Macaca fascicularis: one gene and its partner. The protein of the gene in region 2 purifies or fractionates together with the protein of the main gene of each other region. This does not show direct contact. Links are inferred from orthologs where the notes say so. Each region holds a gene or a part of one and is shown on either strand. Other genes may lie near its edges.

Evidence for each region.
Region 1: the proteins of GDI1 (region 2) and RAB5B purify together in Homo sapiens (affinity purification with mass spectrometry; 3 studies listed by BioGRID and IntAct, counting the BioPlex papers as one, with this or other methods). This does not show direct contact. The link is inferred for Macaca fascicularis from reciprocal best matches to the Homo sapiens genes GDI1 and RAB5B.

What each region holds. Positions count from the first base shown.
Region 1 is NC_088385.1:62,752,034-62,758,592, reverse strand, and holds the start of RAB5B (ras-related protein Rab-5B), read right to left. Parts: upstream 3,566-6,559; 5' UTR 3,500-3,565; exon of another isoform or gene 3,420-3,499; intron 1-3,419. Other genes in the region: CDK2 (cyclin-dependent kinase 2), read right to left, coding at 5,922-6,026, 6,300-6,503. UniProt on the Homo sapiens protein: The small GTPases Rab are key regulators of intracellular membrane trafficking, from the formation of transport vesicles to their fusion with membranes.
Region 2 is NC_088395.1:160,435,887-160,442,433, reverse strand, and holds the start of GDI1 (rab GDP dissociation inhibitor alpha), read right to left. Parts: upstream 4,335-6,547; 5' UTR 4,240-4,334; coding exon 4,195-4,239; intron 2,928-4,194; coding exon 2,820-2,927; intron 2,688-2,819; coding exon 2,588-2,687; intron 2,447-2,587; coding exon 2,312-2,446; intron 1,506-2,311; coding exon 1,307-1,505; intron 1,040-1,306; coding exon 908-1,039; intron 10-907; coding exon 1-9. Other genes in the region: ATP6AP1 (V-type proton ATPase subunit S1), read right to left, coding at 5,560-5,769, 5,934-6,165, 6,252-6,299. UniProt on the Homo sapiens protein: Regulates the GDP/GTP exchange reaction of most Rab proteins by inhibiting the dissociation of GDP from them, and the subsequent binding of GTP to them. Promotes the dissociation of GDP-bound Rab proteins from the membrane and inhibits their activation.

The sequences.
Region 1 (6,559 bases), on a different chromosome or scaffold from region 2:
CTGTTGGAAAAATTAGATAGGATTAAAACACACACACACACACACACACACACACGGCCAGGCGCAGTGGCTCACTCCTGTAATCCCAGCACTTTGGGAGGCTGAGGCGCATGGATCACCTGAGGTCAGGAGTTTGAGTCTAGCCTGGCATGGCAAAATCCCGTCTCTACTAATAATACAAAAATTAGCTGGTCGTGGTGGCGCACACCTGTAATCCCAGCTACTCCAGAGGCCGAGGCAGGAAAATCGCTTGAACCTAGGAAGCAGATGTTGCAGTGAGCCGAGATCATGCCATTGCACTCCAGCCTGGGTGACAAGAGTGAAAATCTAAAAACACACACACACACACCCCTACACACTGTCTCTAGGATAGGTAAGAAAGTTCCTTGGGGGAAACAACTGAGGTTTCCGATGGGCACTATACAAAGGCTGGGTACAACAGAGGGCTTTTAAAGCTAGTAAGGACAAATTCAATTAATAAGGTGGTAGTTGGCCGGGCGTGGTGGCTCACGCCTGTAATCCCAGCACTTTGAGAGCACGAGGCGGACAGATCACGAAGTCAGGAGATCGAGACCATCCTGGCTAACACGGTGAAACCCTTGCCTCTAATAAAAATACAAAAAATCAGCCGGGCGTGGTGGCAGGCGCTTGTAGTCCCAGCTACTTGGGAGGCTGAGGCAGGAGAATGGTGTGAACCTGGGAGGCGGAGCTTGCAGTGAGCCGAGATCGTACCACTGTACTCCAGCCTGGGTGACAGAGCGAGACTCGTCTCAAAAAAAAAAAAAAAAAAAGATGGTAATATGAAATGCCCCAGCTGTACTCTGACTCTTGAGATTTAGAGGAAAACCGATTTCAAATCCAGATAAGCTTGGAGCTTCTTGGATCCCCACAGAAAGACACACACTGTACTCCAGCCTGAGCGACAGAGCAAGACTCTGTCTCTAAAAATAGAAGAAAAGAAAAGAAAGACAAATACAGGGGGCTCTTAGGAGAACCATCATCATCATGGATAAGAAAGAGATAGTCAAGTAATGTGAACATGCAGAGACCATGAACATCCAGAGACCATGAATTTGAGATAAGGCTCTGAAATTCCTTTCTTTAGCAGAGATGACAACAATTGTCCCAAACAAAATGATCCTTTCTCCCCATAAAGTTTTGTTCCATCTCTTTGGGCATTTCCTAGGACACCCAGCACATAACTTGGGGTGTGTGTGTGTGTGTGTGTGTGTGTGTGTGTACTGAAGGTGAATAACACACAGTACAGCCCTCTGCTTGTTGGACTTGGTAGAAGACAAAATGAACTGTGAAAGGAACGCAATAAATAACAGAGTATCATCCCAGAAGGGAAAACTGTAGAAAGAATAAGACTAGAGTTTGGTGAGAACATGAAAACAGAACTGCCTTTTGTGGCACATCCCCCAAAGCAAAGCAAGATAAGTCTGATTTGCTGTCTCTGATCCTTGACCTTCCTAAATGAAATATGAGTAAGGTATGTACGGGAGGATTTATACTTCTTAAACTGCTGAACAGCTTCCATATTTTAAAATATGAACATATTATTTTTGTAATTAAGAAATGTAGTGATGGCCGGGTGCAGTGGCTCATGCCTGTAATCCCAGCACTCTGGGAGACCGAGGCGGGCAGATCATGAGGTCAAGAGATTGAGATCATCCTGGCCAACATGGTAAAACCCCGTCTCTACTAAAAATACAAAAATGAGCTGGGCGTGGTGGTGCGCGCCTGTAGTCCCAGCTACTTGGGAGGCTGAGGCAGGAGAATCTCTTGAACCTGGGAGGTGGAGGTTGCAGTGAGCCGAGATTGCACCACTGCACTCAAGCCTGGCGAGAGAGTAAGACTCCGTCTCAAAAAAAAAGAAATGTAGTGATAAAATATATTGGTAGAGAAGGGGAAAAGGAGGAAGCACAGTAAGGGAAAATCCAATAGGCTCCAATCTATGAGGGACTAAGAAGGCTAGCAGACCATTAAAAGTATGCAGGGAGGAGGGTACTCCACTCTTCTTTTTTTTTTTTGTTTTTGGAGACAGGGTCTCATTCTGTCGCCTAGGCTGGAGTGCAGTGGCAAGATCGTGGCTCACTGTACCCTCGAACTCCTGGGCTCAAGTGATCCTCCTGTCTCAGCCTCCCAAAGTGCTGGGATTACAGACGTGGGCTACTGCACCTCTGTATCTTTTTCTCTACTCACCATCTTCCCCAGATACTTCATAGTTTACCCAACTTTTTAACAGCACAGAAATCTGGGCTTTTGAAGTAGACAAAGAACAAGGGGTGATGCCAAGCTTTTGAAATGGAATTTCTCACTCTTCCCCAAATCTCTTCCTCAGTGATATCACCTCATAGTTTCGGACCTGTTAACTCCATTACCTGCCTGGGAAATACCCAAGTCAAGTCTAAGTCCCACAAAAGTTTCACCAACTATAATCAGAAGATTTCCTGATGGCTGAGGATCTCTAAGCCCTTTTCCCATGTAGATAATGAAATAGATTCTCAGTTCTAGGAGACACGGTATTCACTATAGACCACATTATTAAGTGGGAAAGAAGTGGACAAAACATGCCCCCAATCCAACTCTTGGCTCTTTCATAGGACAGGAAACAGTAAGTTAAGAAACAGACCGCAATATAGACCAGTTATGAAGCCAAGAGAAAGTGTAGGGGCTGAGTTTGGAGCAGCCAACAGTCATGGAAAAAAAAAAAATTACTTTGATCTTCATCCCTACCCTGGGAGTTTTAAAAAGCTTCAAATTACCACATCTAAATACTAAAGGGAACAAAAGAGTGTGTACTCCCAAGACCCAGAGCCTCCAGCCCACCCTTCAGCATTCCCAGAAGCTCCCATAACTGATTCAGGCCCTGCTTCCATTACTTCAACTACCTTAGTCTTCTAGATTAATACAGCCTTCTTCATTTTCCCCAGTTCTCCCTCACTGAACCCAAATCTCTCTCAGCTCAACACCATAGCACCCTCAGTTCTTTTTACAATAGGCACTTTCCCTGAAAAGAACGCTTCTTTCCAACTAAGAACCCTTCTCAGGCCCTTCCAATGAACCTCTCTGGAGAGACCCAGCTCAAGTCACCCCCGGGGCTCGGGCGACAGGTCTGACCCCTCCTCACCTCCCAGCAAATGGGCTTACCTCACCCGCTGCCCTGTCCCTTTCCCCAGCTCCTCCCTCTTCAGCGCTGCTTAATGAGGCCTGCCCCTCCCCTCACTCAAGCACCGAGCCTCCAGCGCCCGGCCCTCGGCCTGGCCGCCGCCACAGCCAGCCGCCTTCCCGACTCACCAACTTCGGGGTCCCAGCCCGCCCAGTCCCCTCCTCAGCGCCCCCATTAGGCCTGCCGGAGCCCGGCCCCCTGCTCCCCTCTCCGGTGGGCCACTCTAACCCCTCGCTTAGGACCACACCCGCCTCCGCTCTCAGGCCAGGTTGCTCTCATCTCCTGGGCGCTTCCGCCCCTGCCCTTTGGGGTCCATCAGCTCGGTACCTGGGGCTCCGTCTCCCCCGTCGGCCCCAAGCCTGTGTCGAACAGACAAACAGCTGCAGCTCAACCAAACCCTCCTGCCCCTCCTTCTCCTCCTCGCCCTGGGGCGGGGGTTCCAGCCAATAGCTCGATTACCCGCCTACCATCGGGGGGTGGGCTATATGTGCACTCATCCACCAATCCTCTGGAGAAAGGCGGGTCTCTTTGGGCGCTGTCACCAACAAGTACGAGCAAGGGACTCGACAGGCGGGGCCACAAACCAATAGCAAGGGAGAAACCTCGAAGATGGACGAGGTAAGGAGCCATTAAAGAGCAAGCTCCTGAAGACAGGGGGCGGTACAGTGCCGACAGGCGTATGTATCCACCAATAAAATCTCGACACCCCATGACCCCGCCTTTTGACTCATAAACATCTAATCAGGTGAGTGAAGGAGGCGGGTCAAAGTGAAACTTTAACCAGTACTACGAAAATACGGGACTTGACTGGCAGGCGAGGGGTTGACAGGAGCCTTAGGAAGGCCTCTATTGACCTTCGCCCCTCCCCCTGGACTTGGCCGGGGCTGGCTCTAGTGCCCCGCCTTCTATGACAAATTCGCGGGCGTAAAGGGAAATACCTCTTCTAGGGATCCGGAGCCTGGGAATTTAAGTAACCCTGACATCAGCGCTTCCTCCCTTTAGTGAGGCTTCAGGGGACAGGAGTATTTGGGGTGGCCGGCGGGCGGTCTGAGATGTTTTTTGTTGGAGTGAGACAATGGCAACTACAAGAAGTGGTAGCTTGGAGACGCTTTTTCAGAATCGTATGTAAATGTAAATAAAATAATCTTTGGAAAACTTTGCTGTTTGTGATATGAAACAGAAAGGAAAAAGGGCGGGCTTACTGGGAAATGCAGTGTCGAGAGGCAAATTCCCCGGGAGCCCTTTTCCTGCCGCTATGTATGTGCATGGGGGTGTGTGTGTGTGCATATATGGTGTGTATGTGGTGTGTTGTGTGTGTGTGGTATGTTGGCTGGGGGAAAGGAAGTTTGCTGGTGTGTGGAGAAAGTAGGAAGTATATAGACTTCAGTTTCCCCAGCCATAAATAGGAACGATAATAACCACTTTGTTCACTGTCAGCACTAGCCAAAATGGGGTGGGGTGGGTGGCCATGCACAGAGAGATTAGGAAAAGGGGTCCGAAATCAATGATCACATATACATATTCATATTCTGTTTCTCACCATTCTTTCAGTAAATAGGAAAGAGATGAACTATAAAACTAGGCACATTTTTTTAATGAACTACAAACTAAATTACAAATAACGTTAATAGCAAGAGCACTCAAGGACAAGGGTGACAGAAACAAATCATAAACAAAAAAAAATGCTTTTTTTTTTTTAAGCACTGTCATTACAAAACCCGAAGGTGCACATGGCAACAAATCCACCCACTCTAACCAAAAAAAAAAAAAAAAAAGCCAACCTTCCTATGGGATATAACCTGAAATATAAATATAATTGTTCATCCTTCTTTTAAAGAAATATTTTTGCCCATGCCCTCACTCAATCACAGCCCTGAAAAAGTGTCAGTACTCTCAAAATGATGCCTAAACCCTAATTTCCAACTCCTATGGGGTAGGAGGTGGACTTCAGAGGAAAACGGGATCAGGGATCCCTGGCAACTGAAGAACTAAGAATACTAAAAGGAAGAGAAAAATTCAAACATCTCTCACCTGCCTCATAAGGCCATGGTGAAGCAATAGATTGGAATGAAGCACAATCCCTGTCCCAGGGCCTCCCAAATTCCTCATGCCTGTAGAAGGGACAAACAAGGGGACTGGGGCCAATCATTTTTCTGCAGCCCCACCCAGGCTGAGTCTTGAGTCTCCCAGCCTATTAGGTGAGGCAGAACACTAACTAGGGTATAAACTGATTGGATCTATTTTTTCAACCGAATTCTTTAAAATAGACTCCTCCCAGTGGTTTTGTTTGACTTGGTTCTCAAAAGTTCCAACTTAGCCCCCTGCTATCATTTGGCCTTTACAAACATTGCGGCAGCAGGAGGCTTGGGATCCTGGTCATCTCAAACACTGGAAATAATAATTACGGGGCATTCAGAGATTGGTACGGCAAATCTAACATGTAGGAAGGCTTTTTTTTTTTTTCTTTTTTTTTTTTTTTAATAGCAACCCTCTTCAGCAGTAACTAAGAGAAGGGGGAAAGGGTGGTGGAGGCTAACTTAAGTGCATCTAATACTGAAACTTCCTTTCATTTTCACTGGTTCCTCCCTTTCACCCCTGTATTCCCAGAGTTGGCTGGCCAAGACTAGAAGGTGAGTGTTTAAGGCAAGATCAGAGGGCCCACCTGAGTCCAAATAGCCCAAGGCCAAGCCAGGTCAAGCCCACACTGGAGCAGAGGGTGAGATTAGGGCTGGAGGCTTCGAGAAGGCTATCAGAGTCGAAGATGGGGTACTGGCTTGGTCACATCCTGGAAGAAAGGGTGAGCCAGGGCTGCCTTGGCCGAAATCCGCTTGTTAGGATCGTAGTGCAGCATTTGCTAGAGGGAGAGATGTATGTTGACTTCAATCATGTGATAGTGGACTAAATGGGCAGCAGATGTTCCCAGAAATCAGGAAACCAGAACTCCTTCTACCCAAGGCGGAATTCTTACTTCCATCCTCCCATAGCTGAATCAGTGTGCCAACAGGGAGAGCAGGAACCAGGGAAACAAAATACTGAGGCCCAGATTTCAGGGTCTCATCCTTCCTTCATCCTGGAAAAGCCCTTCCCTGGGAGAAATGAATGAGGGAAAACAGGTGCCCACTCTCACCGATAACAAGCTCCGTCCATCTTCATCCAGGGGAGGTACAACTTTACTAAAATCTTGCCGGGCCCACTTGGGGAAACTTGGCTTGTAATCAGGCATAGAAGTAACTCCTGGCCACACCACCTCATCTGGGGTCCCCAGAGTCCGAAAGATCCGGAAGAGCTGGTCAATCTCAGAATCTCCAGGGAATAGGGCCCGGCGAGTCACCTGAAAATGGGGAAAGAGAAAATACCAAGACCTATGTTGAAGTCAGTCAAAACTCT
Region 2 (6,547 bases):
GCACTCAATCTGTGGTGAGAACAGCCCTGGTGAAGGCCCCTCCCAGGAGAAACGGGGACCAATTCCACTGTCACCCTTCCTCCACCAAGGTGCAAAAAAGGCTGCCCCAGGCAGGCAGCAGGCAGGAGACGCCGGGATTCATCCCAGCTGTGTCACTGCCGTGAACTCTGGCCCCATCTCAGCGGGCTCTTTCCTCTCAGGAGCTTCTTCTGCCCAGAATACACTGCCAAGGACCAGCAGAAGGGGGCATGAGGGAGCAGTGCTCTGCACCAAGACAGCCTGAAGGACCAGGATGGACTCTCTCAAGATAGGTCACCTCCCAGCGAAGCCCTGACTCAAGGTTCTGGGGCCCTGGGCCCAGTCCTGGTGCTGCCGGGAACTGAGCAAGTCACATTTGTGGAAACTTGGTTCTTCAAGTGTGGAGACTTCTTTTTTTTTTTTTTTTTTTTTTGAGACGGAGTCTCGCTCTGTCGCCCAGGCTGGAGTGCAGTGGCGCGATCTCGGCTCACTGCAAGCTCCGCCTCCCGGGTTCACGCCATTCTCCTGCCTCAGCCTCCCGAGTAGCTGGGACTACAGGCACCCACAACCGCGCCCGGCTAATTTTTTGTATTTTTAGTAGAGACGGGGTTTCACCGTGGTCTCGATCTCCTGACCTTGTGATCCGCCCGCCTCGGCCTCCCAAAGTGCTGGGATTACAGGCGTGAGCCACCGCGCCCGGCAAGTGTGGAGACTTCTGTACTTCAGTGCACTGGGGTTGTGCCCTCATCACCCAAGGATGGAGTGAAGTAAATGAAAATCACGAATTGGAAAGGAGGAAATGCTACCAGGGAAATGCTCAAGGGGGCCATCTCCACTCCTGGCCCTAGTCCTACTCAGCCATGCCAACTGAAAAAACCCACGTCCTCACCTTGCAAAACCCTGGGGCAGCTCGCCCAGGCCGTAGAGCGGGTATAAATATGGGCTCTTGCCATACCGGGCCAGGGACTCACTGTACAACTTGATGCGGTTGATGGTCTCAAGACAGGGCTGGTCCAGGTAGCTGGGGGACAGGGGTTAGGGAAGATGCTCCAGTAGCAGCACCCCTGACTTACCCCCACCCAGGTACCAGGTACCAGGCCAGTCTTCCCACCACCCTGAATGGCCTGGGGAAGATGAGGATCAAATGCAAGGGGGAAATGGAAAGGGTGACAGGTGAGCCTATGGCTGAGTACAAGGAACATGCAGGGCAGGGGGACAACAGGCAGGTGTGGGGAGGGCAGGAGGTGGGCCGGGCGAGGGGGCTGCCGCCACACCAGCTTCCCCTCACTCATCAGTGCGGTAGAGTGCCAGGGCGTGGCCAGTGAAATCGATGACATCCTGGCCCAGATCAAACTTCCGGTAGACATCACGCATGCTGGTAGTCTGGGGGTCAACACCCTCAAAGGTCTTGGGGTCATTCTCATCGAAGTTTGCCACAAACACCAGGAACTTGCGGAAGCGCCGTTTCTCAAACATACCCATCAGATCTAAGGAAGGTGGCGGGAGGAGGTTCTGCACCAACGCAGCACAAAACTCTCCATCTCAGCAGGGCAGGCACCCCCACTCCCAGCCCAGCTGTCCTGTGACCTTAGGTTAACCTCTCCACCCTTTTTAGCCTCAGTTTCCCCACCAGGATGAAGAGGGGATTGGCCTGGATGGACTCTAAGGGCTTTCCTGGCTTGGACACTTGGGGATGTCTTGAGGATCCAGTGGAGCCCCTGCCAAAGGCTCAAGTTTTCTTTGTTGTTGTTGTTTTTTGAGATGGAGTCTTGCTCTATCGCCCAGGCTGGAGTGCAGTGGTATGATCTCGGCTCACCACAACCTCCACCTCCCGGGTTCAAACCATTCTCTTGCCTCAGCCTCCCGAGTAGCTGGGATTACAGGTGTGTGCCACCACACTCAGCTAATTTTTTGTATTTTGAGACAAGACGGGGTTTCACCATGTTGGCCAGGCTGGTCTTGAACTCCTAACCTCGTGATCCACCCGCCTAGGCCTCTCAAAGTGCTGGGATTACAGGCATGAGCCACCGTGCCTGGCCACGCTCAAGTCTTTCAAAAGGAGTCCCGTTCCCCTCCACGTCACATCCCTGCTGCGTGGGGACCTCCCTCTTGGCAGCCAGCCATGCGGCATGACATGGGGCAGAGGGAATACAGAGTGAAGGGCCTCTGGTCCTTCATGGGGGAATGTGACTTTGGACAAAGGGGTGCCTTACTCTGGACAGCCACCCATCCCAAAGACAGTTGGCTTCCCTGCCACCCCATGATTTCTCTGGCTCAGGGGGCCCACACTCACTGGAAGCCAAGGCCTCAGTCTCAGTGGACGGCACTTTGTAGATCTTGCCCCCCTTGTAGACAAAGCTGCCCTCCACCACCTTGAAGTCCAGGTAGCGAGTCACTTCTGTATACAGTAGCATCTTTACCAGCTGCCCTGTGGGGGTGCACAAGGGCAACATCAGCACGGCTCTCTCCAGAGGTTCTAGCTGGTCTGGCTGTGCCTCCTTTGGAGCCTGACTGTCCTTAGGTCTTCCCTATCACCCCCGACCTGCAATACCTCCTTCCTGTCCCTCACCGTTAGCCATGAGGAATTTGGGAATCAGGTCAACGTTCCAGTCTCGGCCTCGGCCCATGGACTCAGGGGGCCCCTCCAGCAACTGAAAACGCTTATACAGCTGTAAGCAGAAGGGAGAGAGAGACACCTCAGGGACCACCTCCTCCTGCTCCAGGCACCTGGAGAGCTACTTCCACCCTGTGCCGCTGTGTGGGAGGTTAACAGGGATGGGCCTGGGCCCAGGCAGCCTCACCTCCTCCAGGGGTGTGATGGAGGAGCTCTCGCCCCCGTAGTAGGGGTTCCGGTCCATGTGCAGCACCTTCTTCCCGTTCACAGACATGATGCCCGACAAGATGCATTCCTGGGGGAGGGCCACACAATCCGCTGCACTCCCACCTTCCTCTGCTCCTACCAGCAGCCCTGATTTGTTCCCCACCCAAACCTGCCTCAGTGGACAGCTCCTTCCATCCACCACCCCCACCGGCTAGTTGCCTCGCCTAAAATTGGGGTGATGGTTTCATCCGACCACACTCTCCATTGCAACCTTGCGGGGTAAAGGAGACCGTCCCCCTCACAAGGCAGACAGTGAAATAACGGAGGCTTTGAGGTAGGCAGGGCATCCAGCAGACACAGGATGGCCTTCCAGTACCAACACGCCGAGAGGCATCTACCTACGCAGAGCCGCACAAAAAGGCGGATAAAACACAATGTGGCACAGAGGGGACCCAGCTGGACTGCGAAAGACACTCCAAAGGGAAGCAAAGAAAGGCTTAGCACAGTCCTTGAAATTGTAGGCCCCACCCTGGACTGCTCTTTCTTCAAAGAGCAGGAGCCCCTGCCGCTGAGGAGGGGCATCTGGGTCTGGACCGAGGGAGAAGAGTCTCTGAGGGGAGTGGGCCAACGGGATTTTCGGGGAAAGGGGGAAGATAAACACCCTCACCAGTCACTGTCACTAGCCCAAGGACAAAGGCTGCAGATGCTACTCAGCCTGAGGTCTCCATGGGCAACCGAGGTGGGGTTGCGGGAATGTGCTTACTGCCCCCACTGCTGCTCCTTCTGGAACATTCCCTGGATCCCCTGGCCCCAGAAGACGACGAGGGGGTGGGCTGAGAGCCCACCCTGGCGAGGCCCCCTGACCCCAGGTCCTTGTACTTCATCCTCACAGGGATTAGCGCAAGATGGGAAGGGACGCTGGGAGGCAACGCTAGGCGGGCGATGGGTGCGGGCGACGGGTGGATGCCGTGATGGGTGGGGGCGATGGGTGGGCGGGGTGGGGGCGATGGGTGGGCGGGGTGGGGGCGATGGGTGGGCGGGGTCGGGGGCAACGGGCCGAGTGGGGGTGCGTTTTCCGGTCCAGAGGGCAGGGGTAGGGAAGATGGGAGAGCGCCGGGGGTCGGACCCGGGTAGGCCAGGGGGCGGCCAGGAAGGGGGCCCCTTCGGGGAGATGGGGTCATGGCAACGAACAGAGGCGACATCGCGGGGGGAGCAGCGGGGTGGGCACGGCGCCGGCTTTTCGGGGAGCCGAGCGCAGAAGATGGCAGTGACCGGAGGATGGGCCGGCGGCCGCATCATCGCGGGGAATGGCGAGGGCACGACGCAGGGCCAAGGGCGCCCGGGGCCGCACTTACGGTGAGGCCGGTCCCCAGCACGATTACATCGTATTCCTCGTCCATGGTCAGGCCTCAGTGGCAGCGCCCGCTCGGCTCCTCCTCCTCCTTCACCACAGCAGTAGCCACCGCCGCCGCCGCCACCGCACTGGACCAAAGATGGCGGAGCGTCGGCCGCCGCCCGACCCCTCCGCCGCGTCAAAGAGTCCCGCCTCTTCCCGCGCCCCGCCGCACCCGGCAGGGGACACCGCCTTCCCGGCTCGCCTCCCGGGAGGGCTGCCAGGGCCCGGGCCACAGCACCAGCGCGGCTCCGCGGGCGACGTTGCTCGCCGAGAGTCCAGAGAGGCTCGGGGCGGGGCGGGCGGGGCGGGCGGGGCGGGCCGGCGGCCGGTGCTGCGGCCCGGGAAGGATCCATGCGCGGGAGCCGGGCGCGCCCCGCCCCGCCCCGCCCCGCGCGCGCCCGCCCCGCCCCCCGGGAGTCTCGGCGCGGCCCCGCGACCGGACGCGCGCCGCTGCGGCAGCCGGGGGCGGCTCCCTCACGACGCGAAGGCTGCCATTGTCACTACGGCCTCCTGAGACGCCGAAGCGCACCGGGACTCGGCCCGACCACCCCTCCCTGACCTAAGCGGTTAGGGCCCAGCTTACTAAAGCCCCTCCCGGTCTCCGGGGATGCCTCCTAGCCTCCCCCTCTCCAGGCTCCATCCTCCCGCATACCTCTGGCGAGCACGCGCCAAAAGCTCAGCGCAGAAATGAGCGACAAGAGGCCCAACGCATGGCGATCCTCGTTTACTTTATTAGGAAGGAAACAACCGAGCACCCCCTGCTCCTGCCAGGCACTTCCGGTGGGAACATGCCAGACAGCCGACGATCGCACCCAGCCCACCTGTGGAGGTGCCTTCCTTCTCAGGCCACAGAAATAAACCCCAGTGTACTGCTTATTGTTAGCACAACATCACCAGAAAACGATAACGACAGCCAAGCAGGACAGTTAAGTAGAACTTCCACACCCCAAACTCAGGGAGCCCTATAACCTTAAGGAGGGAGCATTTGCTACACAAAAACACTATCCACAGCCAGGGATGATGTAGACACAAGAATAAATAAGGAGAAAGGGGACCCTAGAATTCATGTCCCTTACGCCTCACAGCGACTAAGCCTGGAAAGCTGGTTGGTCTAGCATCTACGCAGAATATGTACACCTTGTTGGGAGAGATGGGGGCAGCCCAGGAAAGCTCCTCAGCAGGCTGAAGAGGGAGCAAGATGGGCTGAGGGGAGCTTGGGGTTCATGCTGCGGTAGGAAGAGGGAAGCTCCAGTCCAGTGTGCTGCAGGGTGGGAAAGCAACAACACGGACACTGTCCCACCCTCAATCCCCCACTGGCACAGGGTCAGACGATCTGGGTCAAAGAAATGGTGGGGCCCTTGTGATCATCAAAGCGATCCATGGTCTTGAGACTGAGGATCATGTGCAGGCCGTAGGTGAAGATGAAGAGCATGAACAGGGAGGTCAGCAGCCCCATCCAGATGCCGGGGGAGAAGAAGCTGGCACAGTCACTGGCATAGGAGAACTGCTCCCCCATCACGTTGAAAGCCTGGATCTGGCAGACACACAGACACGGGTCAGAAAGGACCGTTGGGAGGCCCAGCAAGGACTGGGACAAGGGCAGCGCAGGGACAGGACTCCCAAGCCCAAGCCTCTCTTCGTTTCTCAAACACCAGCCTGGGCTCCCCCACCTGAAGCTGGGCCACCCCTGCGCCATACCTGGAAGTCCTGAAGCATCATCTGCCAGGGGGAGGGCTGCGTGCGGGCCACGAGGAGACTGCCCTTCTTGCTCAGGCTGCTGACATACTCGCAGTGGAAGGAGTAGATGCTGGGCCCTGTGACCTGGGAAGCATTGAAGTAGGCAACGGAGCCATTGCTGTGGACTTCGAGGCGCTCCATGGTAAACCAGTGCCGGGCGGACACTGGGTAGAGGCGGTTGGCCAGAATGAACCTGGGGAAGGTGGCAGGGATGTCAGGTGAGCTGGGGAGGCTGGGGCCACACCAGCCTCCCCACACCTCAACCACCCCAGGACTCACTTGAATGTCACTGTGGTACCAAAGAGTCGTTCATAGGTCAGTGAGAGCCTGTGGAGGCAGAGAAAGAGGTGCACCATGAGGCTCTGGGAGGGCCTTTGGCATCTTAGAGGAACAAGTTCCTCAGCTCTGCTCTTACCTAAGCTGCCTTGGGTCCTTGCAGCCACCTGAAGAAGCAGTGACCCCACTTGACAGATAGGAAAACTGAGGATCCAGTCGCATTGCAAGCCCAGAACAGAGCTGGAAGCCAGGACCCAGGTTCCCCTTGCCACCAGCATGGGGGTCCTTCCTCTGGTTCC